4 linked regions of the Elephas maximus indicus genome follow. The main gene of each other region encodes a partner of the protein of the gene in region 3 in a complex. Links are inferred from orthologs where the notes say so. Each region holds a gene or a part of one and is shown on either strand. Other genes may lie near its edges.

The links.
Region 1: KAT7 (region 3) and JADE2 share a complex: the UniProt entries of both Homo sapiens proteins name them as parts of the HBO1 complex. The link is inferred for Elephas maximus indicus from reciprocal best matches to the Homo sapiens genes KAT7 and JADE2.
Region 2: KAT7 (region 3) and JADE3 share a complex: the UniProt entries of both Homo sapiens proteins name them as parts of the HBO1 complex. The link is inferred for Elephas maximus indicus from reciprocal best matches to the Homo sapiens genes KAT7 and JADE3.
Region 4: the proteins of KAT7 (region 3) and BRD1 are in contact, whole or in part, in a crystal structure (PDB 5GK9), measured with the Homo sapiens proteins. The link is inferred for Elephas maximus indicus from reciprocal best matches to the Homo sapiens genes KAT7 and BRD1. Residues at the interface, in NP_008998.1 of Homo sapiens: Leu531, Phe534, Gly536, Lys537, Glu538, Ile539, Ser540, Ile541, Lys542, Pro552, Val553, Val556, Gln560, Leu565, Tyr567, Lys571, His572, Leu573, Val574, Leu575, Lys576; in XP_047297239.1 of Homo sapiens: Val40, Ile42, Glu43, Ile44, His49, Arg50, Ile51, Ser52, Ile53, Phe54, Asp55, Pro56, Leu57, Glu58, Ile59, Ile60, Leu61.

Annotation. Positions count from the first base shown.
Region 1 is NC_064820.1:146,948,689-146,957,022, reverse strand, and holds the start of JADE2 (E3 ubiquitin-protein ligase Jade-2), read right to left. Parts: upstream 3,145-8,334; 5' UTR 3,085-3,144; intron 1,875-3,084; exon of another isoform or gene 1,220-1,874; coding exon of another isoform or gene 817-1,219; exon of another isoform or gene 766-816; intron 579-765; coding exon of another isoform or gene 442-578; intron 1-441. Other genes in the region: WW domain-binding protein 11-like, read left to right, coding at 442-578, 817-1,219. UniProt on the Homo sapiens protein: Scaffold subunit of some HBO1 complexes, which have a histone H4 acetyltransferase activity. Acts as an E3 ubiquitin-protein ligase mediating the ubiquitination and subsequent proteasomal degradation of target protein histone demethylase KDM1A.
Region 2 is NC_064846.1:125,006,007-125,014,013, forward strand, and holds the start of JADE3 (protein Jade-3), read right to left. Parts: upstream 3,235-8,007; 5' UTR 2,806-3,234; intron 1-2,805. UniProt on the Homo sapiens protein: Scaffold subunit of some HBO1 complexes, which have a histone H4 acetyltransferase activity.
Region 3 is NC_064837.1:43,821,402-43,828,902, reverse strand, and holds the start of KAT7 (histone acetyltransferase KAT7), read left to right. Parts: upstream 1-4,267; 5' UTR 4,268-4,437; coding exon 4,438-4,452; intron 4,453-6,862; coding exon 6,863-7,010; intron 7,011-7,501. UniProt on the Homo sapiens protein: Catalytic subunit of histone acetyltransferase HBO1 complexes, which specifically mediate acetylation of histone H3 at 'Lys-14' (H3K14ac), thereby regulating various processes, such as gene transcription, protein ubiquitination, immune regulation, stem cell pluripotent and self-renewal maintenance and embryonic development.
Region 4 is NC_064822.1:195,899,341-195,907,056, forward strand, and holds the start of BRD1 (bromodomain-containing protein 1), read right to left. Parts: upstream 3,291-7,716; 5' UTR 3,252-3,290; intron 2,971-3,251; exon of another isoform or gene 1-2,970. UniProt on the Homo sapiens protein: Scaffold subunit of various histone acetyltransferase (HAT) complexes, such as the MOZ/MORF and HBO1 complexes, that acts as a regulator of hematopoiesis.

The sequences.
Region 1 (8,334 bases), on a different chromosome or scaffold from region 3:
TGCGCCCTTTGAGGGGTGGGTAGCAGTGTGTTGTGGGCGACTGGGTTGGCGGGGCGGGAGGGTGGGGGGAGTTCCTGGGCCTCTGGAAGCTAGAGTGAAGCCTTCCTGCGGGTTTCACAGACATCCCCATACTCCGACAGAAAGCCGAGACTCGCCAGGCTAACCCCTCCTATCCCATAGTCGGGAGAAGGGGTTGTCTCAGAGCTCAGGGATGGGCGGGAAGGGACCGGAGGGTGCTAGAAGTCTGCACCCAGGCGAGGAGGCGGCGGGCGGGAGCCGCTCCGCAGACGCAGGCGAGTGGGTGGGAGGGAGGGAGGGAGGGAGGAAGGAGGTGAGGCCGGGAAGATGCCACTGCCGGGGGCGGGGCCGGGGATCTGGCAGAGGGACTGCAGCGGTGCTTGGTGGGGGCAGGGGCTGCAGTATCACTCATTTGGGGGTCAGGTGTGTGCGTCCCAGGCAGGGGCTGCCGCTTGCCTGCATCTTCCTGGTACCACCCAGGGCGCAGAGGCGGAGGCAGAGGGCAGGGGACTGCAGAGCCGTCCCCAGAGCGGGACGCGAACCAGCAGAGTTGGGAGAAGGTAAACAAGGGCCACGCCCCCTGCCGTCGCCCCGCGGGCGCGCACCCGCCGCTCCGGCCGCCGCCGGTACATTTCCACTCTCCCAGCGCCTCTCCCCCGCTGGACTCCCGCGCAGCCCTGGAGGGGGAGCTGCTCTAGACCCCAGCCTGCACCCCCTACGTTGGGGCCGAGCACCATCCACACTCACCTGGAAAGGGTGTCCCACGCCCCTCCAAAAAACTGTGTCTAATTTGTGCAGAGCCTCCGCGCCCCGGAGCCGAGCATGCTGCCCCCGCGTGCTGCCCCCGCGTGCACCCAGCCCAGAGAGGGGGAGACAGGGCGGAGGCTGTGGCCCCTGGAAGGTGTCTGGGGCCGGACCCGCTGCACGTGAGCCCTGCGCGGGGTCATGTGCACCGGTCAACCCGGTTCGGCGCCCGGACGTGCTGCGTATCAACAAAATGAAACTCAGGGCGACAGGAGGGCAGATAGCTCCGGGTCCTCCGAGTGTTCCCCCCCAAAAGGCACTTGACCTCCCCCCGCACCCTTACCCCGCCGCAGCTCCTCCGCCCGGCCCGAACCCGCGGGGCAAGTTGCAGCCCCGCCGCGCCCCCGCCCGCCCGCGCCCCCTCGCCGGTCCGGGGGCGCTTTGCCGCAGTCATTAATAAAGAAGGTCGCCAAGCTCACCCTTCCAAAAGTTGTTGCATGCGCCCCTCTCAGCCTCCCCGCACTGTACTCTTTAAAACACGACTGACCAACATGCGCAATCTCTCTCCCCTGTGCTGTGCATCCCCCCCACCCCCCGCGCGCTGGCTTCCTAGAACAGGCAGCCAGCAGGAGAGAGAGGGAGCGAGCGAGCAAGAGAGAGAGCGAGGGAGCAAGGAGCGCTGGCAGATCTGTTGCAAAAACACAAAATAACGCCGTGGAGATGCGCAGGGCCCATCCGCCGGGGACTGGATCTTACCTTGCAACGTGATGCCCTCCCGAAGGGCGCTGCCCTCGGCTACGCGCCGCGGCGGGGGCCGAAGCGGGAAGGATGCTCCCGAAACCCGGAGCTCCTCGGGCCGGCGCGGGCGAGCGGGGGGCGCGCATCCATCCGGGGTCGCGGCGAGGGAGGCAACCCAGCCCACGGCGTCCCCGGCCCCGCGCCCCTGCAGAGGACTGTCGGTCCGCCGGACCCAAGCCGGCGCCGTTATGAGTGGGCGCAAAGTAACTCCATGGACGCTACTACCCCCCCCCAAAATAGCCTCCCACTGCGATGGCCGCGGTCGGCACCATTCACCAACCCCCTGTGTATGTTTCTGTTTCTTTTTAAACCAAGACTTCCTTGTGATCTCTTTAGAAAAAAAAAAAAATGTGTTGGGGTGGGGGTGGGGGCGGGCGGGAGGAGCGAGGGAGGGGGAGTAGCCACTTTTTTCTTATTCACTCCGATCTCTGCCGACAGCCCCCATCGTCCGTTCCCCCTCCCCCCGCCCAGTTTGGCTCCCGCAGCGGGTCCAGGTAGCTTTACCCGTCCCAGGGGGAGGGTGCTCTGCCGGGCCGCCGCCTGCCCACACCCCGGGCCTGGACTCCCCACGGGCTCTGGGGCGCCCCCAGCCCGCCCTGTCCCCAGGGCAGGGCCCGAGCGGCAGCAGCGCCCGTGCAAGTCCCATCAGGTCTGCTCACACTTCACACACTCACATACATACCCCGCCCCTCCACTCTCTCACTCACACTTTCTGCTCACACCCCGCCCCCTTCGCTCCCCAGACCCGGGCGGCGCCCCCCGCAACCTTAAAAAAAAAAAAAGGCAAGCTTATACTTAAAAAAATCTTTTGGCGCCATATTAATGACGTACTTAAAATTTGCCATTTCTCCCTGCGTCAAAAAGACGTTTCTTTGCAAATAACAGCCTGAAGGCGACACTCGCGGAGGGAACGAGGTTTGCACTGAGCACCCCGCCCCCCGGGGAACCAGCGTTAGAAGACCCTCGCCCTAGGCCCAGCTCCTGAATCGCTGGTTTTAAAATACGAATCGAATAAATCGCGTGGCGTTTTGCAGCACCAGAAGTGAGCAGAAAGTGTGGGCAGGAGCGGAGAGGAGGGGCACGCGGGAGTCTAGAGGAGGGGGCGCGGCCCTCCTCCTCCACCCACAGCAGATGGAAACTAACATCCGGGCGGGGGAAACTTGAAATTATGGGCGACCTCAAGAATGGAGGGGCGGTCCGTAGAGAGGGTCCCTCTCGGGGTCGTCGCCCCCTCCCCCTGCTAGGGTGCCTCCTGGTGCCCACTGCTGCCCCGCATTTCCGGGGGGTGGGGAACGCGGTGATGGGTGGTGGGTGGGTGCACGTCCTGACCCCGGTAGGAGTTTTCATTTACCCCAGGGTAACACCGTCCCCCGTGGTCACCACCCCATTCTCCAGTGCCCCCTAAAGGGTTAAAAACCGAGGGGCAACTTCCAAAGACTGGCACTTGGCGAGGAAGCGGGGCGCCCCTCTCCCCACCCCTCGCCTCCTCGTCCCTCCTCCTCCGGCTCCAGTTCCCGACTTGACCTTGTGGTGCACAAACAGTGCGCTCGATCCTTGCAGTTTCTGGAAGAAGAGCCTGCACTCGCCGGGCGGGCGGGCGGGCGGGCGGCTCGCGGGCGGTGGCTGGGCCTTGGGGCCGTTCCCGGAGCCACACCCACCCAGCCTGCTGCGCCCGCCGCGCTCACCTTCTCTCGAGGAAGGAGAAAGGCTGGTCTCCTGGATGGAGCTGCAGCCTCCTCCGGTTGCCCCCTAGCTGGGGAGGGGGTGGTCTGGTGTCGGGCGGGGGAGGAGAAGGGGGAGACCTGGGAGCTCGGCTTAACATCCCCAAAGCATCACTGCCAACTTATCCCCCCCCTTCTTGGCTGCCCTTCAAAGATGATCCAAGAATTTTTTTCAGCTCACCTTTGGCTTTGAAGGCACGTGGGTGAGTTGTGAATGGGTACGGGAACCTCCTTCTCTCTCCAAGACTGAGGGTTGTTTATTCTTTCTTTCCCCTCTACACACCCTTCTATGGAAAGATAAATATTCAGTTCACTTGAAATGACATTTATGTGACAATTAAGAAGATTCCCCGATGGAATGTTGTGAACACATTTGCTTATAGGAGAAATAAATCTAATAATAAACAAACTCATAATAACAGCACAAATCCTCTGACAGGGCAGATTGTCTACACAACAAAGAGGGAGATGATGAATGCTGAAATAAGCACTTTTTGCAACAAGAAAGAAATATGAGCTCAAGGGAGTCACTGCAACATTTCTCATCCTTGGCCTACATTGGCAAAGTCTGGGGAGGCTCCTCTAGCAAGAGGAGGGAATGGGTATCACTTCTTGGTTAGACCTGGCTCTGGCTCTCATTGGCAATTGACAGAATTTTCCTAAGCCCAAACTCAGTGCCTGGAAACAGGTGTCAGGGTTGTGGTACTGTAGCAAAATGGTAAAATTCCTGGGTTCTAATCCTGGCTCTGCCATTCAGCAGAAGCTGTGTGGTATGGGCAAATGAATGGGCCTCTTTTTCCTCATCTGTAGAATGGAGTGATTCGAGGGTTCTTGAGGCCATATTTGCACTCTCTCTGGTGTGGATGTTTGGAAGGGTGAATATACTTTCTGAAAGCTCTTAACACTGGAAAACTGGGGACAATAATTTCTGTTTTTCTCTCTATAAAGACACACATAAAATCTCCCAGTGTAAGCAAAAGAAAAGGCCAGGGGAGAAAACCATAATATATGGTCAAGGTCCAGACGGTAGTTTCAGCCACACTGTCTAGGGCCCAGCAGGAGGAGGGAAGGGCCAGACTACAGTGGCAGAGTCCAGGGAGTCTGCTCTGGTTGGGTCTGGCTGCAGAGCATTTATATGCAGGAGAGGACAGGTCAGGCTCCCTCCTCCTAGCCATCAGGTTCCCATGAACTGGAATGGGAAAATACCTTGGCACACATTTATAAAATGACCTAGGGAAATGGAAGACCATTTATAGGGCACCTGCTGTGTGCTGTGCATTGCAAGCCTTTCCATTTCATCCTTACAAAAACCTTGTCTTATGCAGAAAAGGCATTTGACAAAGTCCAACACCCATTTATGATAAAAACTCTTACCAAAATAGGAATTGAAGGAAAATTCCTCAACATAATAAAGGGCATCTATGCAAAGCCAACAGCCAATATCACTCTAAATGGAGAGAACCTGAAAGCATTTCCCTTGAGAACGGGAACCAGACAAGGATGCCCTTTATCACCGCTCTTATTCAACATCGTGTTGGAAGTCTTAGCCAGGGCAATCAGGCTAGACAAAGAAATAAAAGGTATCCGGATTGGCAAGGAAGAAGTAAAGTTATCACTATTTGCAGATGACATGATTATATACACAGAAAACCCTAAGGAATCCTCCAGAAAACTACTGAAACTAATAGAAGAGTTTGGCAGAGTCTCAGGTTATAAAATAAACATACAAAAATCACTTGGATTCCTCTACATCAACAAAAAGAACACCGAAGAGGAAATCACCAAATCAATACCATTCACGGTAGCCCCCAAGAAGATAAGATACTTAGGAATAAATCTTACCAAGGATGTAAAAGACCTATACAAAGAAAACTACAAAGCTCTATTACAAGAAATTCAAAAGGACATACTTAAGTGGAAAAACATACCTTGCTCATGGATAGGAAGACTTAACATAGTAAAAATGTCTATTCTACCAAAAGCCATCTATACATTTAACGCACTTCCGATCCAAATTCCAATGTCATATTTTAAGGGGATAGAGAAACAAATCACCAATTTCATATGGAAGGGAAAAAAGCCCCGGATAAGCAAAGCACTACTGAAAAAGAAGAAGAAAGTGGGAGGCCTCACCTTACCTGACTTCAGAACCTATTATACAGCCACAGTAGTCAAAACAGCCTGGTATTGGTACAACAACAGACACATAGACCAATGGAACAGAATTGAGAACCCAGACATAGATCCATCCACGTATGAGCAGCTGATATTTGACAAAGGACCAGTGTCAATTAACTGGGGAAAAGACAGCCTTTTTAACAAATGGTGCTGGCATAACTGGATATCCATTTGCAAAAAAATGAAACAGGACCCATACCTCACACCATGCACAAAAACTAACTCCAAGTGGATCATAGACCTAAACATAAAGACTAAAACGATAAAGATCATGGAAGAAAAAATTGGGACAACCCTAGGAGCCCTAATACAAGGTATAAACAGAATACAAAACATTACCAAAAATGATGAAGAGAAACCCGATAACTGGGAGCTCCTAAAAATCAAACACCTATGCTCATCTAAAGACTTCACCAAAAGAGTAAAAAGACCACCTACAGATTGGGAAAGAATTTTCAGCTATGACATCTCCGACCAGCGCCTGATCTCTAAAATCTACATGATTCTGTCAAAACTCAACCACAAAAAGACAAACAACCCAATCAAGAAGTGGGCAAAGGATATGAACACACATTTCTCTAAAGAAGATATTCAGGCAGCCAACAGATACATGAGAAAATGCTCTCGATCATTAGCCATTAGAGAAATGCAAATTAAAACTACGATGAGATTCCATCTCACACCAGCAAGGCTGGCATTAATCCAAAAAACACAAAATAATAAATGTTGGAGAGGCTGCGGAGAGATTGGAACTCTCATACACTGCTGGTGGGAATGTAAAATGGTACAACCACTTTGGAAATCTATCTGGCGTTATCTTAAACACTTAGAAATAGAACTACCATACAACCCAGAAATCCCACTCCTAGGAATATACCCTAGAGATACAAGAGCCTTCATACAAACAGATATATGCACACCCATGTTTATTGCAGCTCTGTTTACAATAGCAAAAAGTTGGAAGCAACCAAGGTGTCCATCAACGGATGAATGGGTAAATAAATTGTGGTATATTCACACAATGGAATACTACGCATCGATAAAGAACAGTGACGAATCTCTGAAACATTTCATAACATGGAGGAACCTGGAAGGCATTATGCTGAGCGAAATGAGTCAGAGGCAAAAGGACAAATACTGTATAAGACCACTATTATAAGATCTTGAGAAATAGTAAACCTGAGAAGAACACATACTTTTGTGGTTACGAGGCGGGGAGGGAGGGAGGGTGGGAGAGGGTTTTTTTATTGATTAATCAGTAGATAAGAACTGCTTTAGGTGAAGGGAAAGACAACACTCAATACATGGAAGGTCAGCTCAATTGGACTGGACCAAAAGCAAAGAAGTTTCCGGGATAAAATGAATGCTTCAAAGCTCAGCGGAGCAAGCGCGGGGGTCTGGGGAACATGGTTTGCGGGGACTTCTAAGTCAATTGGCAAAATAATTCTATTATGAAATCATTCTGCATCCCACTTTGAAATGTGGCGTCTGGGGTCTTAAATGCTAACAAGCAGCCATCTAAGATGCAGCAATTGGTCTCAACCCACCTGGAGCAGAGGAAAATGAAGAACACCAAGCCCACATGACAACTAAGAGCCCAAGAGACAGAAAGGGCCACATGAACCAGAGACCTACATCATCCTGAGACCAGAAGAACTAGTTGGTGCCCGGCCACAATCGATGACTGCCCTGACAGGGAGCTCAGCAGAGGACCCCTGAGGGAGCAGGAGAGCAGTGGGATGCAGACCCCAAATTCTCATAAGAAGACCAAACTTAATGGTCTGACTGAGACTGGAGGAATCCCGGCGGTCATGCTCTCCAGACCTTCTGTTGACACAGGACAGGAACCATCCCTGAAGACAACTCATCAGACATGAAAGGGACTGGTCAGCGGGTGGGAGAGAGACGCTGATGAAGAGTGAGCTAATTATATCAGGTGTACACTTGAGATTGTGTTGGCAACTCTTGTCTGGAGGGGGGATGGGAGGATAGAGAGAGAGGGAAGCCGGCAAAATTGTCAAGAAAGGAGAGACTGAAAGGGCTGACTCAAGACGGGGAGAGTAAGTGGGAGTAGGGAGTGAGATGTATGTAAACTTATATGTGACAGACTGATTGGATTTGTAAACGTTCACTTGAAGCTTAATAAAAGTTATTATAAAAAAAAAAAAAAAAAAAAAAAACCTTGTCTTACCTGTTCAGAAAGGGTTAGTAACTTATCAACAGCCACATAGCTTATAAGTGGTGGCAGAATGGGCACCTGGGTCCAGCTGACCCCAAGGCCTATGGAAACTACATAGGTTTCCATTTACCACAATGCTAGAAATAAAAAGTGTTGTATTTGATTGGAGGTAGGGGCCTGATCGCCATTTTGGCAAGACTGAGCAGGATTTTACTGGTGCCTCTTTTCCTCTGAGGCGTTCCCCAATTTTGGGTGAGACCTAGGGCCTCTAAAAGATCCTTGGGAGATACCTCTTGCTGAGGTCTGGAAGCCCTATTAAGGCCCTCAGGTTCCCACAGGCCTCTGCTACTGTTTAAGGTTAACCTTGGAAATGTTAACATAATGATAAGACTAATTATAACTCTTTAATCTTTATTAAAGTCTCACAAATCATTAACTTTTTACAGAAAAAAATTGAGATGAAACAGAGTTCTTGGAGATATAATCATTTATTCAATGGACATTTATTGAGGAGGGCCCTCCTGTGCCAGGCACTGTTGTAGGTCAATTTCTGCTCTTGTCGTGGGGAACTTACTTTTCAGTGGAAAGAGACACACTATTTAAAAAATAAGTAAAATATATACTGTGTTTGCAGGTGAATACCTGTGACAGAAAAAAAAAAAAATAGGAAAGGGGGATAAGGAGTGGCGATACAAT
Region 2 (8,007 bases), on a different chromosome or scaffold from region 3:
TGTAATGACCACTTGCTAGCACCCTTTTATTCGTGACTTCTACCCACTCATCCCAGATCCTCCCCACCCCCCAACCCAGAATACTTCAGCATTCCCAGTCACTGTAACTGAAACAACGGGGAGAAACTTGTGAGCCACTCAAGTCCCCCCATATAAGCTATTTCAGGAGCACTCCAGACGTGCATGATCCAACACCTACCCTTAACCTAGTAAAAAGATCAGGGTAATTTATCCCCTAGTGAGAGATTTTCTTAGTATAAGTCAGCATATGACCTCTACCTTCCTCTGCTCCTATTTTGTGGGAGCTTGATGAGGTGTAGATGAGGAGGTAGATGTGTTATGTCCTATGATAATGTTCAACCTCATTTTTAGCCCTGATCTCTGTACCCCTGATCAAGGCTTGAAAGAGTCGTCTATAATGCTATGTCTTCACAAACACTGATGCCTCCTGCCTCCTCCACTCCACCCCCCAAAAATAAATACCTGCCCAGATCCAGGCAGACCTCAAAGTAGTAGGCAAAAAGAAGAGATGACTTTGTACAGGTTTGGGGAGAAATGGGTCATTATGGCTGGTGGATCACAAGGGAGGGAAAAGACAAGCATTATCAAAGGAGAGCATCATACTCAACCTCCCATTTCAACATCCTTTGTTCTTTATTTTAATACTCTGCAATCCACAGCTCTCAGCTATGATGAGAGCCCTGTACCATCACCTGTCCCGGTCCTGGGAATCTCCTCTACAGGCCCAAAAGCAGGCATCCCTAAGTCTGGTGCTTCCAAATCACTGCTGGCTCCCAGCTAATCACAAACACTTTAGGGAGGAGTTGGAGGCCCTTCTCTACTTTCCCCTACCTGTGACCAAGACTGGTCACAGTCATGAGTCTAAATCCACTCCGCAGCAACTAACAACAGGTGAGAAGGCACTTACCACACTGCCAAAGCAATATGACTCATAAAAGAGGGGAGATAGGAAGTGTGGATTCTAGAACAGGCCTGCACCCCAGAACTGACTGGAGGGAGTATGCAAGGAGCTGTTTCAAGGCAACAATATTAGGTTAAGAGCTCTTCTCTAGCAAACAAAACTGTGCAGAAGAGCAAAGTTGAAGAAAACATGGCAATCACTGGAGCTAACGCTGACTGAGAGCTTAGTATGTGCTCGGCACCGAGAAGCACTTCCCAAAGATCTCATGTAGTCATATCCTTTTACAGCTCAGGTACTTAAGCTTGGAAAACCAAAAACCAAACCTGTTGCCATCGAGTCAATTCCAACTCACAGCGACCCTATAGGACAGAGTAGAACTGCTCCCATAGGGTTTCCAAGGCTGTAGCCTTTACAGAAGCAGACTGCCACATCCTTCTCCTGTGGAGTGGCTGGTGGGTTCCAACCACCCGCCTTTCAGTTAGCAGCCTAGCGCTTAACCACTGTGCCCCCAGGGATCTTTTTTTAAGCTCAGAGTTCTCCTTAAACGAGAGAGAAAATGATACGTTATGGAGATAAAACACTCCTAGGCCAAACGAAAAAGAAAAATTCTATTTTCACTCATCCAAAAAGTAATCACATGATTCTATAAAAGCATGAGAACTACTCTACTCAAAGGATACAAAGGCCAGGATTCACATTCCCTCTGTTTACAGATGTTATGAAAGTATTAAACTAAATAAAAATGCAATGCTTTGTTCAGGCCAACTACGCTTTCACTCTCTCCCTCTGGCTGACAAGAAGCGGCTGCAGGGAAGGTATTTAAAACGAGAACTACTCTGGGAAAGTGAATTTTGGGATTGCTCAAACTAAGCCAAGATGTTGTGCAACCAGCTTTTACCTAAATCATTTTTCGTTAATTTCAGGGTTTAGAGGAGACAGTCATCTTTATCAGACTGAATACAGGGAATGAGATCGCCTCTCCCTCCAAGCCACTGGAATCACCATCAACACGGTTTTGATTTCTCACACAATCGGTTGGCGGAGGTGGTGGTGGTGTCTCATCCTCAGCTTCAGATAACCGATCACACATCAAGAAAAGCTCACGCACACCTAAGGCCATGGATTTCCTTGCAACTCTTCTGAGTCAAAGAAGCGGCCAAACAAGTATATTGCCAAATCTCTAGGAGCTACATATGTCCCAGGGTTACACAATAATATCAACTTTTAAACGTGCCTTCACATACCACCATTACGGTCACTCATTCGAGATCCGGCCCCCTTCCCACCTCACAAATAATGAACCTAGGTTATCCTGTGCGTTTTAAATCCAACTTAAAAAAAAAAAAGGCGAGAGAAAAAGATTGGAGAGGCTCTTCTTTTTAATTAACTGCCCCACGAAGAAGGAATAAAACTAACTTGATAGCTGCAGAAAAGTTAACAACTTTGCCGTGCCCAGAGGTGGGAAAATTTCACGTAAGACTTGGAAAGCCCTCACGATTTTCCCAGGACCGCCTAGCGCTCGGCGGAAGCGGCGGCAGCCGAACGGCAGCGTCCGAACAATGACGCGAGGGGGAGGGAAAGTTCGGGGCGCCCGCGTTCCCGCTCCGTAGGCACCGGGCCTCGTTGGGGGCCCCGCCCGCTCCCCGCACCACCAGTCTGCCCGTCTCCAGGCAGTCGGTTCCTCCTGCCTCCCAATATCGAAACAGCCAGGGCGGTCCTCCCTGGCTTTATCAGAGCATCTGGCCCAGCGCGGCCGGCAGAGCAGGTCCTCCCGCCGGGGGTTTGACCCTGTGAGCTCCGAAAGCCGGCAGAGGGCAGGAAAGGAGAGGGCGCGAGAGGGAGCACCGGAGGGAACCACAACAGATATGGCGCTCAATTCCTACCGGGAGTAGTCAGGGGCTGCGGTCGAGCTCGAGCGTCCTCCCTCCGCGCCCCCGCGCCGGTCGACAGGCACTGCCCGGGCCGGGAGAAGGGCCGCCAGGCACCTTATCCTGGTAACGAACGCTCTCGGCCCGAGGGCACTGGGGACGCCGGCCGCGACAGCAGTGTGGAGCTGGAGCGGCTGCGAGGCCGGCCGGGACGCTCCGCTCCGGCCGCTTCCACTCCCGCTGCCGGCCCGACGCTACGCCCCGCAAACCCGCTGGCACCGCGTCCGGCGTCTGTGGCGCCTACCTTTGCGTAGCTGGGTCGCGGCTCCTTCCCGTCTCCTCGCTGGGGCCAGTAATGTGCCGGCGAGTCTGGTGAGGGTGGTACCCGCCCCCCTACTCGCTTGCTTTCTTCTCTTCCCTCCTTCGCACCTGCCCCCTAATCCCCTCCCTACCCCCGCCCCTCCTCCCCGGCAGCCTGATCCGCCGGGGCCGCCCCCCGCGCCTCAGCTCCCGCCCTCAGGCCCTCGCCCTCCCGGCCCCTCAGGGCCTTAGCGCTGGCGGTTGGGCGGCGGCAGCGGCGGCGGCAGCGGCAGCTGAGGCGGCGCGGAGCACTATTGTATTCCTGACACTGTGCGCTCCCACGCTCCGCCTCTTCCCTTTCCTTCCTCGCCACCCCCCCCCCGTTCCCCCTCCCACAGCGGCGGCGTTCACCCTCCGCTACTGGCTCTCGCCGGCTGCGGGCGGCGCTCTTCTGGCGGGCCAGGCGCCACGGCGACCGCCACGGGTCTCGAAGCTCCGCCCCCTTTGTGAGCCGGCACCCGCTCCGCTATGCTCCAGGTAGGTTCCTCTCCCTTCCTGCTGCGCGTGCTGTAGCACGGCGTGGAAGTGCTTTGGTTGTGTTGAAATACGAGCGCAGCTCTCCATCCCCCCCAGCTCTAAAGTTCTATAAGTGGGACTCTCATATATGAAACTTATTTTCAGCCACTATTGATTTAGGTCGTTTGCGCTTTAATTAGCTATAATCATACAGCCAAGGTTGCTTTTACCAGAATAAAACAAGTACAAATGGTTTATGATATTGTGTGGCTTTCTGATGTGTCAACTTGGCTAGGCTACAGTTCCCAGTTATTCAATCAAACACTAATCTAGGTGTTGTGAAAGTATTTTGCAGATATAATTAAAACTCCTAATCAATTACTTTAAAGTAAGGGAGAGTATTCTGATAATTTGGGTAAGCCTGACTGAATCAGTTGGAAGACCTTAAAAGCAGGGCCGAGGTTTCCAAGAATGTGAGCAAAAGAGAAGAAATTCTGCCTATGGATGACAGACAGCTTTGGTCTGTGCCCAGGGTTTACAACTTGCCCGTGATCTTCCCTTCCTGCCTGCCCTACAAGTTTTGGATGTGCTTAGCCAGCCACCGCAGTAGTGTAAACCAGTAGCTTGCAATGAATAAATTAAATAAATATAAATATATGAATGAATATATATGCATATATATATATATATGCCCATTGCCGTCCAGTTGATTCTGACTCATAGCCACCCTATAGGAAGAGTAGAACTGCCCCACAGAGTTTCCAAGAAGCGCCTGGTGTGTTTGAACTGCCAGGTGTGTTTGAACTGCCGACCTTTTGGCAGCGGTAGTGCTTAACCACTATACCACCAGGGTTTCATATATGCGTGTGTGTATAGGGGCTTGGGATATATATAAAATCACATTTCTCTATTATCTCCTACTGGTTCTGCTTCTCTGGTTGAACCCTGACGCAAATGTTTAAGGAACAGACCTTCTTGATTTACCTATCTGGGTTTGGAAATATATTATGTGCAGTTATGATTAATTCATATAGTCAATTTCATTTACATTTCTAGGATAAATAATGTCAAGGCTCTTGTATTTTGCCTGTTTTCCATATTAAAGATGTAATTTTATTTTCATAATACACAAATGTGTCTGTTCTAAAATATAGTCCTTCAAACTTACCTCATTTCATTGTACTTAACTTATTTTGAAATAATTATAGATGCACAGAGAGTTGCAAAAAATATTACAGAGAGGTCCTGTGTACCTTTCACACAGTTTCCCCCTATTGTAATATCTTACATAGCTTTAATACAACATCAAAACCAGGATAATGATGTTGGTACAATCCACAGACCTTATTCAGATTTGCCAGTTGTACATGTACTCATTTCTGTTTCTGTATTTTATCACATGTGTAGATTTCTGTAACTACCACAATCAACTGTTCCTGTAGCACAAAGATTCCTCCTGCTACCCTAAGTCACAGCCATGTTCTTCTCTAACCCCTGACAACCCCTAACATTTCTCCATCTCTATAATTTTGTCATTTCAAGAAAACCACATAAATGGAATCATATAGTATGTAACTTTTTGAGTTTGGCTTTTCTTCACTCAGGGTGATTCCCTTAAGATCCACCTAAGCTGTTGCATGTTCATGCCTTTATATTGCTATCCATGGTATGGATGTACCACAGTTCATTTAACCATTCATCCACTGAAGGACATTTGGGTTGTTTCCAATTTTTGGCTTAAGAATAAAGTGGCTATAAACATTCATGTAGAGGTTTTTGTGTGAATATAATTTTTATTTCTTTGTGATGAATGTCCAGCAGCGCAATTGCTAGATCATATAGTAAGTGTTATAAGAAACTGCCAAACAATTTTCCAGACTGGCTATACCATTTTACATTCCTACCAGCAATGTATGAGAGACCCAGTTTCTCCACATCTTTGCCAGCATTTGGTATCATCACTATATTTTTATTTTAGCCGTACTTATAGGTGTGTAGTAATATTTGCATTTCCCTAATGGCTAATGATGTTACACATCTTTCCAAGTGCTTATTTTCCATCTGTATATCCTCTTCAGTGAAATGTCTGTTCATGTAGCTTGTCCATTTTCTAACTGGATTATTTTTTATTGTTACATTTTAGAATTTTTTATATATTATAGATGAAATTTTTTTTTTTTATAGATGTAAGTCTTCTTTCAGATACGTGCTTTGGAAATATTTTTTCCCAGTATGTAGCTGGTCTTTTCATCTTCTTAAGATATTTTGAAGACCAAAATTTTATAATTTTGATGAAGTACAATTTGTCAATTTTTGCACTTATGAAAATGCAAAATGCTTTTGGTATCATAACAAAGAAATCTTCACCTAGCTCTATTGATGTGTTCGGGCTTAAGTCTGATATTTTATTATTTGTTTTTTGTTTGTTTCCCCTGTTTTTTATACTCCTGTTTCCCTTTTCTTTCCTTCCCATGGGTTAATTGAACGTTTTCTGAATTTCATTTTGACTTATTTATACTGTTTTTGAGAATAGCACTGTCATACATTGAATTATGTCCCCCCCAAAATGTATGTATCAATTTCACTGGGCCATGATTCCCAGTATTGTGTGATCTTCCTATATGTTGTAAATCCTGCCTCTATGATGTTAATGAGGATGGGTGACAGTTGTGTTAGTGAGGCAGGACTCAATATACAAGATTGGATTGTGTCTTGAGGCAATCTCTTGAGATGTAAGAGAGAGAAGGGAGCAGAGAGACGGGGGACCTCATATCACCAAGAAAGCAGCACTGGGAGCAGAGCACATCCTTTGGCCCCGGGGTCCCAGTATCTGAGAAGCTTCTCAACCAGGGGAAGATTGAGGACAATGACCTTCCTCCAGAGTGGACAGAGAAAGCCTTCCCATGGAGCCGAAGCCCTGAATTTGGACTTTTAGCCCATTTTACTGTGAGGAAACAAATTTCTCCTTGTTAAAGCCATCTACTTGCGGTATGTCTGTTATAGCAGCCCTAGATAACTAAGACAATCACCTTGTATAGTTTTCTCAGTGTTTGCTGTAGGTATTAAAATATACATATGGAATTTATCACAGCTTACTGTTCTTGACATTTTACCACTTCCATTAAAGTGTAGAAATCTTATTTTTATTTAGGTCCCTTTACCCTCAAACTGTATTTTTCTTTAAAAAAAAAAAAACTTTATTGTGGTAGAACATACAAAACAAAAATTTGCCATTTCAACTATTTTAAGTGGTTGTCACAATTCAGAGTCATAATTTAGTGACATTCATTACATTCACCATGTTGTGCAACCATCACCACTATTTGTGTCCAAAAGGTTTTCATCACCCCGAACAGAAACTAAGTACCCCTTAAGCAATAACTCCTCATTCTCACCTCCCCACGCCCTCTGGTAACCACCAATAAACTTTTGTCTGTATGCATTTACCTATTCTACGTATTTCATATAACTGGTATCAAATAATATTTGTCCATTTGTGTCTGACTTAATTAACTCAACATAATATTTTCAGGGTTCATCCATGTCATAGCATGTATCAGAATTTCATTTCTCTTTATGGCTGAATAATATTCCAGTGTGTGTGTATATATATAACTTTTTTTTTAATCCATTCATCTGTTGATGGACAGTTGGGTTGTTTCCACCTTTTGGCTATTATGAATAATGCTGCTCTAACATTGGTATACAGGTATATATTTGAGTCCTGCTTTCAATTCTTTTGGGTATATACCTAAGAATGGAATTGCTGATTTATATGGTAATTCTATGTTTAACTTTTTAAGGAACCACCAAATTGTTTTCCACAGCAGCTACATCATTTTACATTCTTACCAACTATGCTACAGGGATCCAATTCCTCTGCACCCTCACCAACACTTGTCATTTTCCAATTTTTTTTCTTTTTGATAATAGCCGTCCTAGTGGGTATGAGCTGGTATCTCACTGTGGTTTTGATTTCCATTTCCCTAATGAGTAATGATGTTTGAACATTTTTTATGTCCTTATTGGCTATTTGTATATCTTCCTTGGAGAAATGTCTATTCAAGTACTTTGCCTGTTTTTTCACTGGGTTGCCTTTTTGTTGTTGAGTTATAGGAGTTCTTTACATATTCTGGATATTAAACCCTTATTAGATATGTGGTTACCAAGTAGCCTCTCCCATTCTCTGGGTTGTCTCTTTGCTTTCTTCATAATGTCCTGTAATGCTCAAAAGTTTTTAATGTTAAGTTGGAATTTAATAAAGTCCAGTTTATCTGTTTTGTCTTTTGTTGCTCATACTTTTGGTGTCATACCTAAAAATACATTGTCAAAAACAAGGTCCTGAAGCTTTACCCCTATGTTTTCTTATAAGAATTTAATGGTTTTGTTTCTTATATTTAG
Region 3 (7,501 bases):
GCAATTATTTTTTTTGTGGCTGGAGGCGTTTAGAGAGCTTACGAATGTAACTGAGAAAGACATAGATATGGTAAGAAAAAACACAAGGACAGACATAAATGACAGCCCAACTCACCTCAGGATGGCTCTCCTGCCATTCTGATTAGTCTCCCTCACAGCTGCCAGAAGAGATCTCTAAAATGCAAGTCTGATCATGTGACTCCTCTGTTTAAAATCCTTCACAGGTCCTCACCTCTAGAAGAGTCCAGGTTCCTTAGCAAGGCGTTCAAGATTCTTCATGAACTGGTTCCCAAAACCATTCCCACCTCTTCTTTTGGCAACTGCCCCAACTCCACCATGTGGAGTTGGTCACCCCTGCATACCATGCTGCTCCATATGTCTGCACTTTTGCACATGCTGTTCCCTTTACCTCAAAAGCCCCTATTCTCCATGTCCAATGGCAAACTTATTTGTCCTATGAAATTCCACTCTTTTCACAACTTCCACGAATCCTTTCCTAAGCCTTCCAGATGAAACGCCCACTTCCTCCTCTGTACCACTTCTGAATCTTGCTCAGCCTTCTATTTTCGTATGTAGTACTCTACAGTGTTTTGGAACTCTGAGCTTACTGGCAGGTCTTCCCTACTGGACTCCAAGATCCTTCAGGGGAAAAACAGTGTTTTGTCCATCTTGTTATGACTCAATGCTTGGTTTATAATGCCTGAATAATTACTCTGTGTCTGCTGAACTGAACTTAGGTTGAACAGACAAAAACAAACCATTGAGACTGTCCTGGATTGAATTGTGTCCCCCCAAAGTATTTGTCAACTTAGCTGGGCCATGATTCTCAGTATTGTGTGACTGTCCACCATTGTATGTGATTTTCCTGTATGTTGTAAATCCTATCATCATGGTGTAATAAGATGGATTAGTGGCAATTATACTGATGAGATCTACAAGATTAGGTAGTGTCTTAAGCCAATGTCTTTTGGGATATAAAAAAGAGAAGTAAACAGAGAGACATGGGGACCTCATACCACCAAGAAAGCAGTGCCAGAAGCAGAGCGAGTCCTTTGGACCTGAGGTTCCTGAGCTGAGATGCTCCCAGACCAAGGGAAGACTGATGACAAGGACCTTCCTCCAGAGCCGACAGAGAGAGAAAGCCTTCCCCTGGAACTGACACCCTGAATTCAGACTTCTAGCCTACTGGACTGAGAGAGAATATGCTTCTCTTTGTTAAAGCCATCCACTTGTGGTATTTCTGTTATAGCAGCACTAGATAACTAACACAGATAAAACAGATACCACGTAAATACATATTCACAAACATTAAGATGTATAACCATGATTAGGGTGAAAGAAATTATAAATAGCAGTAACAACAGCCATTTGTTGAGCAGTTATTCTATGTTAGGAAATGTACTAAGTGCTTTACAACAGTCATCTCTTCTATTCCTTACAACAACCCTGTGGGGTGGCCATTAGTATCCCCACTTCCCAGGTGAGAAAACTGAGGCATAGATCAATTAAAAAACTTACCCATGAGCAATACAGATAGAAAGCAGCAGAGATGAGATTCAAATCCAGATCTGACATCAAAGTCCTGAACTGGACAGTAAAAGGGCTGATAAATAAAATAAACAGGAGTTATGTTTCTAATTATCTGGCCAGGAAGGGGAGTGAGGAACAGAACATCTACCAATTGTACAAAGAAAAGTGTAACTATAGCAGCAAGGACAAAATCACATATCACTATATTCTCCTACCTTAAAAAAATAGCAGCAAGGACAAAATCACATATCACTATATTCTCCTACCTTAGGAAGAATAAATCAGGAAAAACTTTGAGAAGAAAGTAAATTTTAAAGAGAGTTGGGAGATACATCCAGGGAGGAAGAAAAGACTTTGTGAAGCTATAAAGGCAGGAAGAACGGTGGAGAGTGCCTCCATGAAGTCTTGTGGATGAGGATGGGCAAGGGGGCAACTGGTCAAAGGCTTTGAAACCAACCTCGATTTCTGCTTTGAACACTAACTGCACCACGATGAAAAATGACACACGAAGGAAAAGTTATATTTGGTTGAAAAAGAAAAAAGTTTCTAACATCCTCCCCACCCCCATTTTTACCATACCTAGCTGGTCTACTCTCATCTTAAATCTTAAGTACATATTCTTTCCCTCAGAAATGTATTTCTAGCCTACCGGTATTAGTTTTTTCATCTTTCTGCCAGAGTGTACAGTTTTCTCGGACCAGAACTATGTCTAAATGAAACTGTAAACTCTTCAGCATCAGCTGCAGTTTTAAGAGAATCTAGTGCAGGCGCTTAACTAATGTTTAACATTTGGAATGCTGATATTTGTATTATGAATGGTTAAGTTAGATAAGGTCTTATTGTAAAATACAAATTTCCAGGGAGGGAATACTTCACCATTTTTGAGTGTTAAGATGTGTAACATCTTAGAGACTATAAAATTATAACAATACTCTGAATAGCAAGCATTTACTATGGGCACAGAATGGTCTAAGTACTAGAATCGAGATAGGTTCTTAACCCAAGAAGTCCTTACCACTAGTAGGAGAGCCAGACATCCAAAAGTGACCTCAGGAACACACCAAAACCATTGCCATCGAGTCAATTCTGACTCACAGCGACCCTGTAAGACAGGGAAGAACTGCCCCATAGGGTTTCCAAGGCTTTTTTTTTTTTTAATCTTTATGAAAGCAGACTGCCACATCTTTCTTCTCCCGAAGAGTGGCGGGTGGGTTGAACTGCCCACTTTTCAGTTAGCAGCTGAACGCTTAACCACTGCCCCACCAGGGCTCCTCAGGAATACACCACTAAGTGCAAAATAACAGAGTAGTAGTGTGAAATAGAATGCTTAAGTGCTGAGGGGATACAAAGAAGAAATGTGAGCTACTTTCAAATAAGTTCTTATGTGCAGTTCAACCTAAGCAGGTCATTCAGAAATATTTATGCTAAATACTAAAATTCTAAATACTAGAAGCTGCCAGTGTCAACACCAGCCCACAACATCCCCAAGGAGAATGCTGGCCTAAGTGTCTGGAAATCTCACTCTTTAGAGCCCTCTGTTAGCACATCAATCCGAAGTTTACCTTCCGTTGCTTTGTTCTTTAGCTCTGCTCCTGGGGGAAATCTCCATCTTTCCCGGCCTCAGGTTGAAACTTGGGTCCAGGGTTCTAACTTAATGACTGAGCTAGCCCAGATTCCACCCAGTCGCTCTTGGCCAAGCCTTGGTCCTCTCAAAGGTTTTCCTCCAGAGAGATTCAATCTTCAACGCCTGCTCTCCACTTTCCAGCCTTTTCATATGCTCTTCCTCTAGCCTTTTACCCTTGACTAACTCCTTCCTAGCCCTCTCCAAAGTAGGCCCTATTATTATTATTTAAGATACTCATGCCGTTCTGAGATCCAGCTTCCCCAAAATATTCTTTCCACTCCCACCCTACCCCAACTCCTGGCTCAGGCAGCTGAATTTCTAGAGGTCGCAGTTCAATGCTTCTCCGACTCTTGTACGGCACCCTCACATCCACGTCGTATTTTCACTCGTGGTCACCCAGCGCTCTCCAAGCCAAAAATAGGGGAGGAAGGAGGTGGGCGCTCACCACAGAGCTAAATTGGGAATTCTGTGGAGCCACGGCTTCTGGAGAACGGTTTTGTCTCCTCCCGCGACATGAACGACAAACTTACTTGCAGTTCGCCAAGGGGAAGGACAATGTCTCCTTTACTAGACAGGAAACTTCCTGATGATGGAGGCTACCCTTTCATTCCTTTTACAATCCCCCATTTCCACCTCTTTGACACACAGGACAGCTCTTAAAACAGAAAGTTCTTTATCAAAATATCCCTTCCCAACTTTGAGTTTATATAATAAACGGAAACGTCCCTTAGCCAATTAGGCAACGAAGGGGTTAAATTTCAACAACCTGATGGATTCTGGGGATTTCCTACCTTTTCGCCATTAAATTAAAACTACTGGGAAGGAAAGCTTTGCCCAAGATAAAGATGAAAACCGTTAACGTCTACTCTTAGGCTTCTGCCCAAACAAGAACGGCTACCCAAGCCTACAAACGGCGCCATTAGCCTAACCAAAAATGGCTGGCCCCAGTTTCCACCAGCTATTTTTTATGCCCCTTTCTGCCCAACTCCAAAATGGCGCTCACTAGCCTCACCAAAAGAGGCGAGCAACACGCCCACCTCCCAGCACCCTCTTTGGCCCGAAACGTCAGGTGACGCGAACCCCAGCCGGAAGTGAAGGAAAAAGCGCCTCGGCCCGCGGCGCCTGCGCAGAAGACTCTAGACGCTGTGAGGCAAGAGGCACTTGGGATCGTCCGCAGAATTGGGACTGCTACAGAGGCCGCCACGGAGCCCGCCGGAGCTACCGTTCCTACTGCTGCCGCCGCCGCTGCCCGAATCGGAACCATCGGGCCGCAGCCGCCGGCAATGCCACGAAGGAAGGTGAGAGAAACGGGAGGGGAGGGATGGCGGGTTTCTAAGGCCAGTTGATTGAGCAACGTGACGCAGTTGGCCACGCCTCACAGTGGTTGGGTTCCAGCTTCCTGCTCCCTTGAACTTAGCTCAGCGGACCTCTCTTCTGGCCATACCCGACAGAAAAATGTGGGCCCGACCCTGGCCTCGGCCTGTGCTTGTGACTATTCCCGCCCTCTACTTGGCTGGATCGGAGGCGTTCTTACCGTTAATTGGCCGCTGAAACGTCTGGGAGCATATTGATTGGCTGGTGACACCGCCTGTTAGGGCTCAACGGTCACCTCCCCGCGTGCGGGAGCGGTGCCTGGACCGGCCCTACCGCGCTGCAACTGGCTGTAGGGAACGATCCCTCCTCTCTTCATTGGCTGCGTCGGGCCAATCTGTCCCGTGGGGGCGCGGTTTAGCAGGATTTCTATTGGGTGGCACGAATCCCCTCCTTTCCGGGTGGCGATGCTGTTGGTGTAGAGGCGGGGTTTTTGAGGACTTTTTTCCAGGTGGGTACAACAAAGCTGAGCGCTGGGTCTTAGGGAACCAGGGCGTGCTCCCAAGGAATACCGCTCAAGCTTGTTGAGTCTAAGACGTATTTTTCATCATTCGCTTTGCTCGGTGTAAGGGACTTAAAAGATGGTCTAGGAAACCCCTCCCCACACACTTTTTACATCTGAGTAAACAAAGTCTAGTGGTGTGCGCAAAAGCTCTCCGCAATGGCAGAACCAGAAAAAAAAAGTACACGACAAATCTAATTCAGCAATTGTTTATTGACTGCTTTCTACATGCTGGTTGCTAGAGATTCAAAAATTAATTTGACATGATCCCTGGTAAGGAATACAGACATAAATAACTAAAAGGATCTAGTGCTTGCTCTGTTTAGAGAAATACGTGGGAAGGAGGTGAGGGAGCAGTTAAGTCTGCTCTGGAGAAAGATGGAGGAGTACGCTGCCAAAGAGAAGGGCAGAGTTCCAGGATCAAGCCAGGGAGGAGTGGTCAGAGATGATCAGGAACTCAAATATCCGGGTAATTGGACTTGATTAAGACTCCACCTTCGTCCCACTGATTCTCTGTGACACTTTCCCATGGCCTCAGTTCACTTCTGGGCTGAGTTCAATCTGATTACCCTTAAGCTGGGTGATAGTCTTGCTTGTTTTTGCAAGAATTTTTATAGAGGCTTTCAAATAAATGTGTATAGTTTATGATGTCTCCTAAAATGATCTGAGCTGTAGGTGGTATTTATGTTAAGGCTCACCAAATGCAGGAATAGTATCAGTACCTTGCAATAGGTCCACAGTTCCCTTTTTTGCAATTCCCAAATACAAAGAGCAAGTTTTTTAGTAACTTGTTTGGTGACAAAGCCTGCCCTAAACTGTCTTGAGGCTATTTATGGTTTTTATGTATCTATTTAGTGTGATTGTATAGTTTGCTGTGGAAATAGTAATGTGTTGCTTATAGAGTATTTGTAGGATCTGTGCAAAAAGATTTTCCTTCCCAAAAATCTGTGCAAAAAAAGTATTTCTTTTCCCACAATCTATAAAATTATGAATTTGAAACAGCTGGCCCCCAGAGTTTTTAATAAAGGATCCAGGACTTGTAGTTTGAAGCTTTTTTTGTTTTTAGGAAGTATTCTTTTCTTTCTGGTTTAATAAAGGGTATGGTGTTAATACTCATTTGATGAAAGTTATCCTTATGGCTAATTACACCTGAGGACGCTAATAATTTACAAATGATCATTAATTGAAAAGATGATAAATCACCTCCGTGTTCGAATACCTTCTAATCTTCATTTGCCAGCTGCCTTTTTCAGCACTTTGGATATTCATGCAAAGAAACTTCAAGGCTAGATGACATAGAAGGAATTTGTATCTTTTTCTCTTTCTGCTTCAGTTCTCTTGAGATCAGTGCTGTGGACCATGCTATTTTGTTTTTTTGGTTTTACATTGTTTTTTAAAGTGTGATAGCTATCAATGGAGACTTTGAATAAAAGCTACTCTAAACTGAAATGGGGCCCAGCACCAACATTTTTCTCACTACCTTGAGCTTTCTGTAGGTGCATGGTTATGTCAGCTAGACCATTTTCAGTTGGGTATTTTTATTTCTAGTTTGTGGTACTGGTCTCCAAAGGGACTTGTTTCAGGATTAGTGATATTACACTGTTACCTGTCTGTTTTCATTTACTTAACAATGGCACATTACTTGTAGGTTGTTCCATATAAATGTCCTAAATAAAGGGAAATTGGCTCTGGGCTGGGAAGGGAACTGTTTGTGGAATCCTTTCTTAGGTTTGAACTTGATGTTTTCAGCATCATGGTACATTTTATTTCCAGTGTTAATACAGACCCACAGAGTAAATGCTTCTGTACTAATGTCTGGATCTATGGTGTTACAGAGGAATGCAGGCAGTAGTTCAGATGGAACCGAAGATTCCGATTTTTCTACAGATCTTGAGCACACAGACAGTTCAGAGAGCGATGGTACTTCCCGACGATCTGCCAGAATCACCCGCTCCTCAGCCAGGCTGAGCCAGAGTTCTCAAGGTAAAAGGCTTCATGCTTCCTGACCACTCCTCAGAGTTGACTGACTGGTTAGCACATTATTTTTCTAATAATGTGGCAACTGGTCTCTTGGCTTGGTGCAGATGACAGAATCTGGTGAACTACAAGGAGAATAACTGTACAAGTATCAGGTCATATGCAAAAGATGGAGCATAGTGTTCTTAAAAGGTGTCATTGGCCATGCCCTGGACATCTGAAACAGCTAGAAAATGCTTGAGCTCTGGGTGTCTTAAGGAGCCTTGGTGGTACAGTGGCTATACACTCAGCTGCTAACTGAAAGGTCAGCGGTTTGAATCCACCAGCTGCTCCAGGGGAGAAAGATGTGGCAGTCTGCTTCTGTAAAGATTACAGCCTTGGACGCTATGGGGCAGTTCTACTCTGTCCCATTAGGGTTACTGTGACTCGGAATCTGCACAGTACCAACTGGTTTGTTCGTTTGTTTTTTTTTTTCCATGTGCCTTTTGAATTACTGT
Region 4 (7,716 bases), on a different chromosome or scaffold from region 3:
CCATGAGGCCACGGGCCACGTCAGAGTCCAAGAGGGAAACCCTGTGTGCTACGGGGAGACCATCTTCACCCTGGGAGGATACAGCTCAGCTTCTAGGGGCCACAGCAGTGGGACCACTGGGTGGTCTCTCAGCCCCAGGATTTAACGCTAAGCTGGGCTGTGTCCTCTTCCCTGGTTTTCAAGGAAAGGCCACAGGTGTGTGACATACATCTCTGCCCCTTCCTGACATGGTGAGAAACAGCAGTTCCGCAGAGCTCAGCTTTGGTCCGGACTGGCTCCCCACCTGCTGCAGAGCCCCCACCATGCAGCCACCCATGCCACAAGGCTGGTGGCTGGCCCAGGTGCCTGAACAGGTAACCGTAGAGATTTATGAGAATTTGCTCTTCTCAGACACGGACGAAATCAGTGAGCGCGCCCCATCCCTTCACTGTCTGAATATTGCCTGTTTCTAGGGCTTCCTTGATAAAGATGCCTCCTAACTCTGGACCCACGTGCCGAGCAGGGTGTCACCTTGGGGTACGTGCTGGGCGCCAACGAGAAGACCACTCGGACTTCTCCCTGGGAACATTTTATTTACAGGAAGCAAAATAATTTTAAGAGATCAGCTCATTGATACTCCGTACAGAACCCAGGGCCTGGCTGCTGTGCCTGGCTGGCTACGTCGAGGTGGCGAGGGGCACCTTGGGAGCCAGAATCCACAGCCTCCCACTGACTCAAGCTGACTGCACTTCCTAGGTCCCAAAAAGAAATCCCAGCAGATCCTGAGCACACTGTTTAAGACAGGCCCTTCAGATGATGGTTTTCTTATTCTTTGGTCGACAAGAAACCCACCTCTAATACTGAGACGACACAGGAATTTCTATGAATGGCAAACACCATAGTCAGCCAACCCCAATTTGCCCGCAATTGAGGGGCCCCCCAGTGCCCCTCAATCCTGGATCTCCTCTGGGCCGTCAGCAGAGCCCCCTCTACCAGCACGCACGCCCATAGGTACAGCCAGAGGAGCCCACCAGCCAGCAGGAGCCCAAATGCCTCCCAAGTGGAGCTAGGCACAGCCCCAGGATGTCAGCACCACAGCCTTCAAGGAGGGGACCCTAACGCACCCAGGGATAGCTTCACAGTGTCATTACTGAGGTGGGGCAGGAGCAACAGTTGGTTACTCGCCAGATTAAAAACAAAGGTATAATTTTCTCCTCTCCAGCAAAGCACCAACAAACTCCAACTATAATAAGCCCTTCAACATCTAAACCCTCCCAAATGGGTACTGAAACCCTTTATCTGACCACATTCTACACGAAGAATTTAACCTAACACTTAATGGTGACAGCAGCTCTGTAATTTGGAAGCATAACTGTGACCAGGGAAAAAGGCATTTAGCAGCAGGGTCCAGCTCAGGACGACACAAGGCCTCACTGTCCCATCATTTCCCTGAGCCACAGGTCTGTCTCTGGCCCTCAGCTCCCTCCATACTCTGTACAGGGACAAGCACTGCAGGAGAAGGGGATCAGCAAGGACAGTATCAGCAAGGACAGTAACTGTGTGTGCATGTGTCTTGGGAAATAATTTTGCTAAATCCATCCTGCAGAGCCACGAAGGACAGGAAACGCCAGACTGGTATCAGCTCACATTGCTCAAATTAGTTTTATTCCCTGCCTGGCTCTGGACAGGTCATTTAAATCCCCCTAGCCACTGCCTGCTCTGCTATAAAGTGGGAATGGGAAGAACAGACACCTTATCGAGCTGTGTGAAGAATAAATGGGTTCATACAGAGCACTAAGAACAGTGCCTGGCAGCACAGGTGCTGCTGTTATTAGGTGCCATCCAGTCAGTTCTGACTCCTAGCGACCCAACGTATGACAGAACGAAACACTGCCTCGTCCTGGACAATCCTCACAATCGTTGCTGTGTTTGACACCATCGTTGCAGCCACTGTGTCAATCCATCTTGAGTCTTCCTCTTTTTCGCTGACCCTCTACTTTACCAAGCATGGTGTCCTTCTCCAGGGACTGGTCCCTGGTGATAACATGTCCTGAGTTTGTGAGACAAACTCTCGCCATCCTCACTTCTAAGGAGCACTCTGGGTACCAAGCCAGATAAATATATAGTACCAGGATTTCATAAACTATATTTTAAGCAGTGACAAGCCCTTAAAAATAGACCCAAGCAGGAGCAAACTTTTTGGGGTGCTGGGAATGCTCTTGATGGGAGTGGTGGTTTCCTGGATGTACACACACTTGTCAAAACTCAACTGTGTACTACTAAGAGATATACGTAAGTTATACCTCCACAAAGTTACTTCTTCGAGAGAGGCCCGGGAAAGCCAGGATGCCGATTCACTTCCAGGTGCTGAGTGACAATGCTACCCAGTGCTTCATCCCGAGTCCCAAATCTGCAGGAATGGCTGACTGATAGCCACTTGCTCCTGAGACCATCTCTACACCCAACTTATCGAGCCCAGCAAATGTTGCACAGCATGGGACTGAGAAAATCCGCAGAGGTTTGCCAACGTTTCTTGTTAAGAAATCTTCAAAGCACGTCCCTGTTAACAGGGAGTTTCCTGTCTTGGCAAAACAGAGTTTTACATAATGCAACCAGCACGTCAAAGAGATATGCATGCAACCGACGGGGAGCACAATGAGATTCTCTCCTGGCCGTAATTAGAACGTGACCGTGGGTGCAGGCTCTGGGTGCAGGCTCCGGGCCGAGGCTTTCGGCGCTGACCACTGGCAGGGCCGGGCCCACTCCTCCTCCCGGGTCCCGGCCCTCTCCTTCTCCCGGGGCCCGGCCCACTCCTCCTCCCAGGGCCCGGCCCACTCCTCCTCCCGGGGCCCGGCCTGCAGAGCCTCTCCTCCCCGGGCCGGGGCCGGAAAAGGCGCCGACCTCCCGAGCCCACGGCCCCCCAGGCTCCCGCCGCCAGCAGCGGCCTCAGCGGCAGCGTCCGACCCGCCATCGCGGCCCCCGGCGGGACCGGGCAGCGAACGCGGCGGCGGGCAGGGCCGAGCCGGGCCGCCGCGGCCGGACGCCCGGGGCCTGCGCCGTCCCCCGGCCTCCCCGTCGCCTCCCCGGCCGCCCGGCCCCGCTGACAGCGCCGCCCGGCCGCCCCCGCCCGCCCCGGCCCTGCCCGCGGACAATGCGCCGCCAAACATGGCGTCCGCACAACAAGCCCACGAGAGGCCGCGGCCGAGGGCGGCGGCGGGGCCGGCGGCCCGCGAGGCGGGGGGCGGCGTCCGGCCCGGACCCCGGCCACTCACCTTCGGGGCGCCGCGACCGCGGGAGCCCGGCGGGCGGGCGGGCGGGCGGGCGGGCGGCGCGGGGAGCCGGCGCGGCCGAGGCGGCGCTAATGGCGCCCGCGGCTCCTCCGCCAACGGCCGCGCAGGCCCGGCCCCGCCGCCGCTCCTGGGCGCGGGCTCCTCTCGGCGGCGGCGGCGGCGGCTCCGGGCCCGGCGGGGCGGCCGCGGGCTCAGGCAGCGGCTCGGGGCCGGCTCGGGGCCGGCTCGGGGAGGCCGCTCGCGGAGGAGGCCCGGCCGGGGCGGCGGCGGCGCGGGGCGCGGGGCGCGGGGCGCGGGGCTGCTCGGACGCCCGGGCCGGGCCACTCGCTCGCTCCCCAGCGAAGCAAACAATGCGGCGAGCGCTCCGCCCGGCGCGCTGCGTGCAGACGCGCCCCGCCCGCCGCCGCCCCGCCCCGGCCGCCCCGCCGCCGCCACCGCCATGACGCGCGGCCCGGGCTCGAGGCGGGAGGCTGCCGGCGGGGCAGAGGGGCCTGGCTGGGAGCTTACGGGGATTGAGGGGCCTGAAGGGGCCGAGGCGAGGGGGCTAGGGAGGGGGAAACTGAGGCGGCGCCCACGGAGGCAAGGGGGGCCTCGGGGGGGGCTTACCGGGACTGGGGGGCCTGAGGGGACGCTGGGAAGGGACACCGGCAGGGCTGAGGGGAGCCTTAGTGGGGCTTACCGGGATTGGGGGACCTGAGGGGGCTGGGGAGGGGGGGACTGAAGGGACGCCGCTGGGGTGGGCTGGCTTGAGAGGGGGCCCTGAGTGGGGGCTTACCAGGGTGGAGGGGACCTGGGGGGGCACCGGAAGTGGTAGCTGGACCGGGGTGGGGACCCCGAACGGGGAGTGAGGAGAACCTGAGGAGGGGCAGACCTAAGTGGGTGCCATTGGGAGGAGCCTGGACCGGCTGGGGGGACCTGAGGGGGTGGAGAGAGGGGGCAGCTGCATGGAGGAGGGAGACCTGAAGTGGGGCCAAACTGGGGTGGGGGCGCTGGTGGGGGACTGAGGAGAACCAGGGAAGGGGGTTATTGAGAGGAACCTGAGGGGTTGCCAAGTGGGGTGAGAGCTGAGGAAGGGGGATTACCTAAGGGGGTGATGAGTCCGGGGTGGGGACCCCTGTCAGAGAAATGAGAACTGAGGGAAGGGGGCCTGGGCAGGGAGTGGAGAGCACCAGCAAGGGGAGTAACCACAGGGGAGTGACTGGGTGGGGGCTGTGCCGGGTAGGTGTGGGAACCTGAGGGAGAGCCAGATGTGGGGTGCTGGTTGGGGCAATGAGGGAGACGGAGGGCTGGACCAGGGAAGAGGGTGCCAGGTGAAGGTGGGGGAGTGGGGAGCTAAAGATTCCCAGGCTGGAGGAGGAGGACCAAAAGAGGGCCCCTGAGGGGAGATAGAGGAAGCCCCCGCTTTTCTTTTAACTGTTATGTACCCAATATGGGACTAATTAGGTCCTGAACACCTTACCTAGGATCAGTAAAACAGCCAGATACCATATTAAGATTCTCCAGAAAACAGCCCTTGGGGCAGGAGTTGAGAGCGGAGTCCTACTCTCCCAACTGGCTGCTATTTAAAATCCAATGAGGGCATGACAGTTTTCATCCTGAGATTAAGTCCCAAAATGTTTTGAGACATGAGGGAAACCTAGTGGTTCCTTGGTTTCCTGGGAAGATTCCCAGTTAGTCCCGTAGGGGTGAAGGAGCTCCTGGCTGTGTGGAGAGCCCAGCCTGTGGCAGCGGGGAAGAAGAGGGCCTACCCTGCCCCAGGACAGGCTGCCTTACTCCACGTGGACAGGCAGGGCAGGGTCCACCACAAGGGCCTCCATCCAATGCCTTATTGGGAGTAGGAAGGCCCTGTCCACCAAGTGTCCCAGGTAGGGCCAAAGTGCCACAGGCCTACTGGCCAGTAAATGGACTTTACTGTGCTCAGTTTATGGGTTGGGAAGTGAAGGCTTGGAGATTGGGTCAGGACAGCAGCCAAAGTCACCCTGTGGTCAGCCTTAAACAGGGTCTCACCTCAAAGCTGGTTCCTACACCAGACCCAGGAGCCACACACCAGCAGGAGCTGCAGAATTCGCCTCCACTCTACAGATGTGTGTCTGTCAGAGTCCACATGTGCCAGGGCAGCCACCAGTGGAAGATAGCCGAACGGGGCCCACACCCTCATCTCCTCCAGGTGCCTTTGTTCACCTTGGCCAAACCAGGTACAAACCAACAAGCTGGACGATGTGCAGAGAGCAAAACTCAGACTGTCATGTGGAGGAGAAGATGAAAAGACACGCGTGGAGTCCTTTTCCACAGAACAGGAGAGAGTCGTGGGGACAGTAACTTCTCAACAAACAGCCAAAGTGATGGCCAGGAGGGGTGAAGGAAAAGACGCACATAGAGGCATGTCAGTGTGACGCTCTGGACTTCCAAGAACAAAGAGAATAGCTCCAAGTACAATGGCCAGTATCAGGAAACAGCAAATAACAAGTGTTGGAGAGGATGTGCAGAAACGAGCTCTTTCGTCCACTGCTGGTGGGATTTTAAAATGGTGCAGCCTCTGTGGGAAACAGTTTGGTGGGTCCCCGAAAAGGTAAGCGTAGAATTACCACGTGACACAGCAATTCGACCCCTGGTATACGCTCAAAAGACTTGAAGGCAGCAACTCAAACGGATTATTTGTACACCGACATTCACTACAGCATCATTCACAATAGCCAAAACTTGGGAACAGTTCAGCTGTCCCTTGTCAGATGAATATATAAACATAGTGTGATAGGAGTGTACAATGGAGCCATAGAAAGGAGTGAAATTTTAATACGTGCTACAACTTGGGTGAACCTTGAAAACATGTCAAGTGAAATGAGCCAGATCCAAAGGACAAATACGTGATCCCAGTTATGTGAAATATACAGAATAGGCTGATGCCTAGAGACAGAAGTGGTGACCAGGGGTTGGAAGGAGGGGGGAATGGGGAGTTACTGCTTTGTGGGTAGAGTTTCTCTCTGGGGTGATGAAAGGTTTTGGAAACAGAGTGATGGCAGTCGCACAACATTTTGAATATAGTTAACGCCATTGAATTGAACACTTAAAAATGATTAGGTGGCAAATTTTATGTTATATACATCTTGCCACAATAAAATTTTTTAATTTAAAAAAGAATAGCTCAAAAACTTCCAGAGGGTTCAGTGCAGTGAATTGCTTTTATATGATCCTTTTAGCCATGGTCTTGTAACTTCTGCGAAATGATTGAGTGAAACCAAACCCATTGCCGTCAAGTTGATTCCAAGTCATAGCAACCCTATAGGATAGAGTAGAACTGCCCCCAAGAGTTGCCAAGGAGCACCTGGTGGATCCAAACTGCCAACCTTTGGGTTAGCAGCCGAACGCTTAACCAGTACACCACCAGGGTTTCCAAATGATACGTAAATAAGGCATGTAAAATGCTTGCCGGGATTGGCTGCAACAATGAGCTCAAGCATAACAACGATTGTAAGGATGGCGCAGGACCGGGCAGTGTTCCATTCTGTTGTGCATAGGGCTGCTATGAGTTGGAACCGACTCGACGGCACCTAACAACATCCCACCAAGGGGATAGTGCAGTTTTGCTGTCCCACTAGGTTTATAAAAAGCAAATCCCAGAGACTGAGGGGAGACCTCACAGTCATCAAGAAGAGCCAGAAGCAAAGCGTGTCCTCTGGACTCAGGGTTCCTGCACTGAGAGCCTCCTAGAACCAGGAGACAGAGCTGTGACACCGCACACAGCAGCAGCGTGAGATAGCAAGAGAGAGCACAGCAGCAGCATCGCAGGATCAGCAGATGGCTGCAGAGGACTTGCTGAGCAAGAGAGCTGAGCGCCTTCAGGCATGAGGCTTCCTGGCGGGACGGGGTGCCCCTGGGCCCTTAAAGGCGAGCTAAAGAGCTGTAAGACTTGCCCAGCAGCAGAGGCCTGCCTAGGCAAGGTGGAGAAGCTGTCCTGATGGACGAGTTGTACCCTGAGTTGTCCCTGTTACTGCCGTATTGATTCTGAACCCGGAGTTGTAACTGAATTTTTGAACTCTGCAGAGAAGTGAGAGTGCCATGGGCAGGAAGGATGGTGTCAGAGTTGGTAAAAAGGGTTGGTAAAAAGGGTTCCTCGTGGGAATCAGCCTTGGGCTGATGGTGATTCTCTCTCCTCCTCCTGAAGTTAGACAAGGTCTGACGCTGCCACTTTACAGAGGGAAAGGATCTTCTTTAGAGTTATTAAGACTGAAACCACAAAACAGCAATTCTGAAAATTCTGAAGTTGAACCTGGAATCCCGTATGTACTGAAACTAGCATTCAAGTGAGACAGCAAGATAAAGGGTGTCTTCACAGACCTGCAGACATCAGCATTTACCCCCCACCATGTCTCTAAAAACTTGCTAAAGCACATACTCTAGGGAAACGAAAAGTGAACCCAAGAGTAAGACATGGATGCCAGCAAAGGAA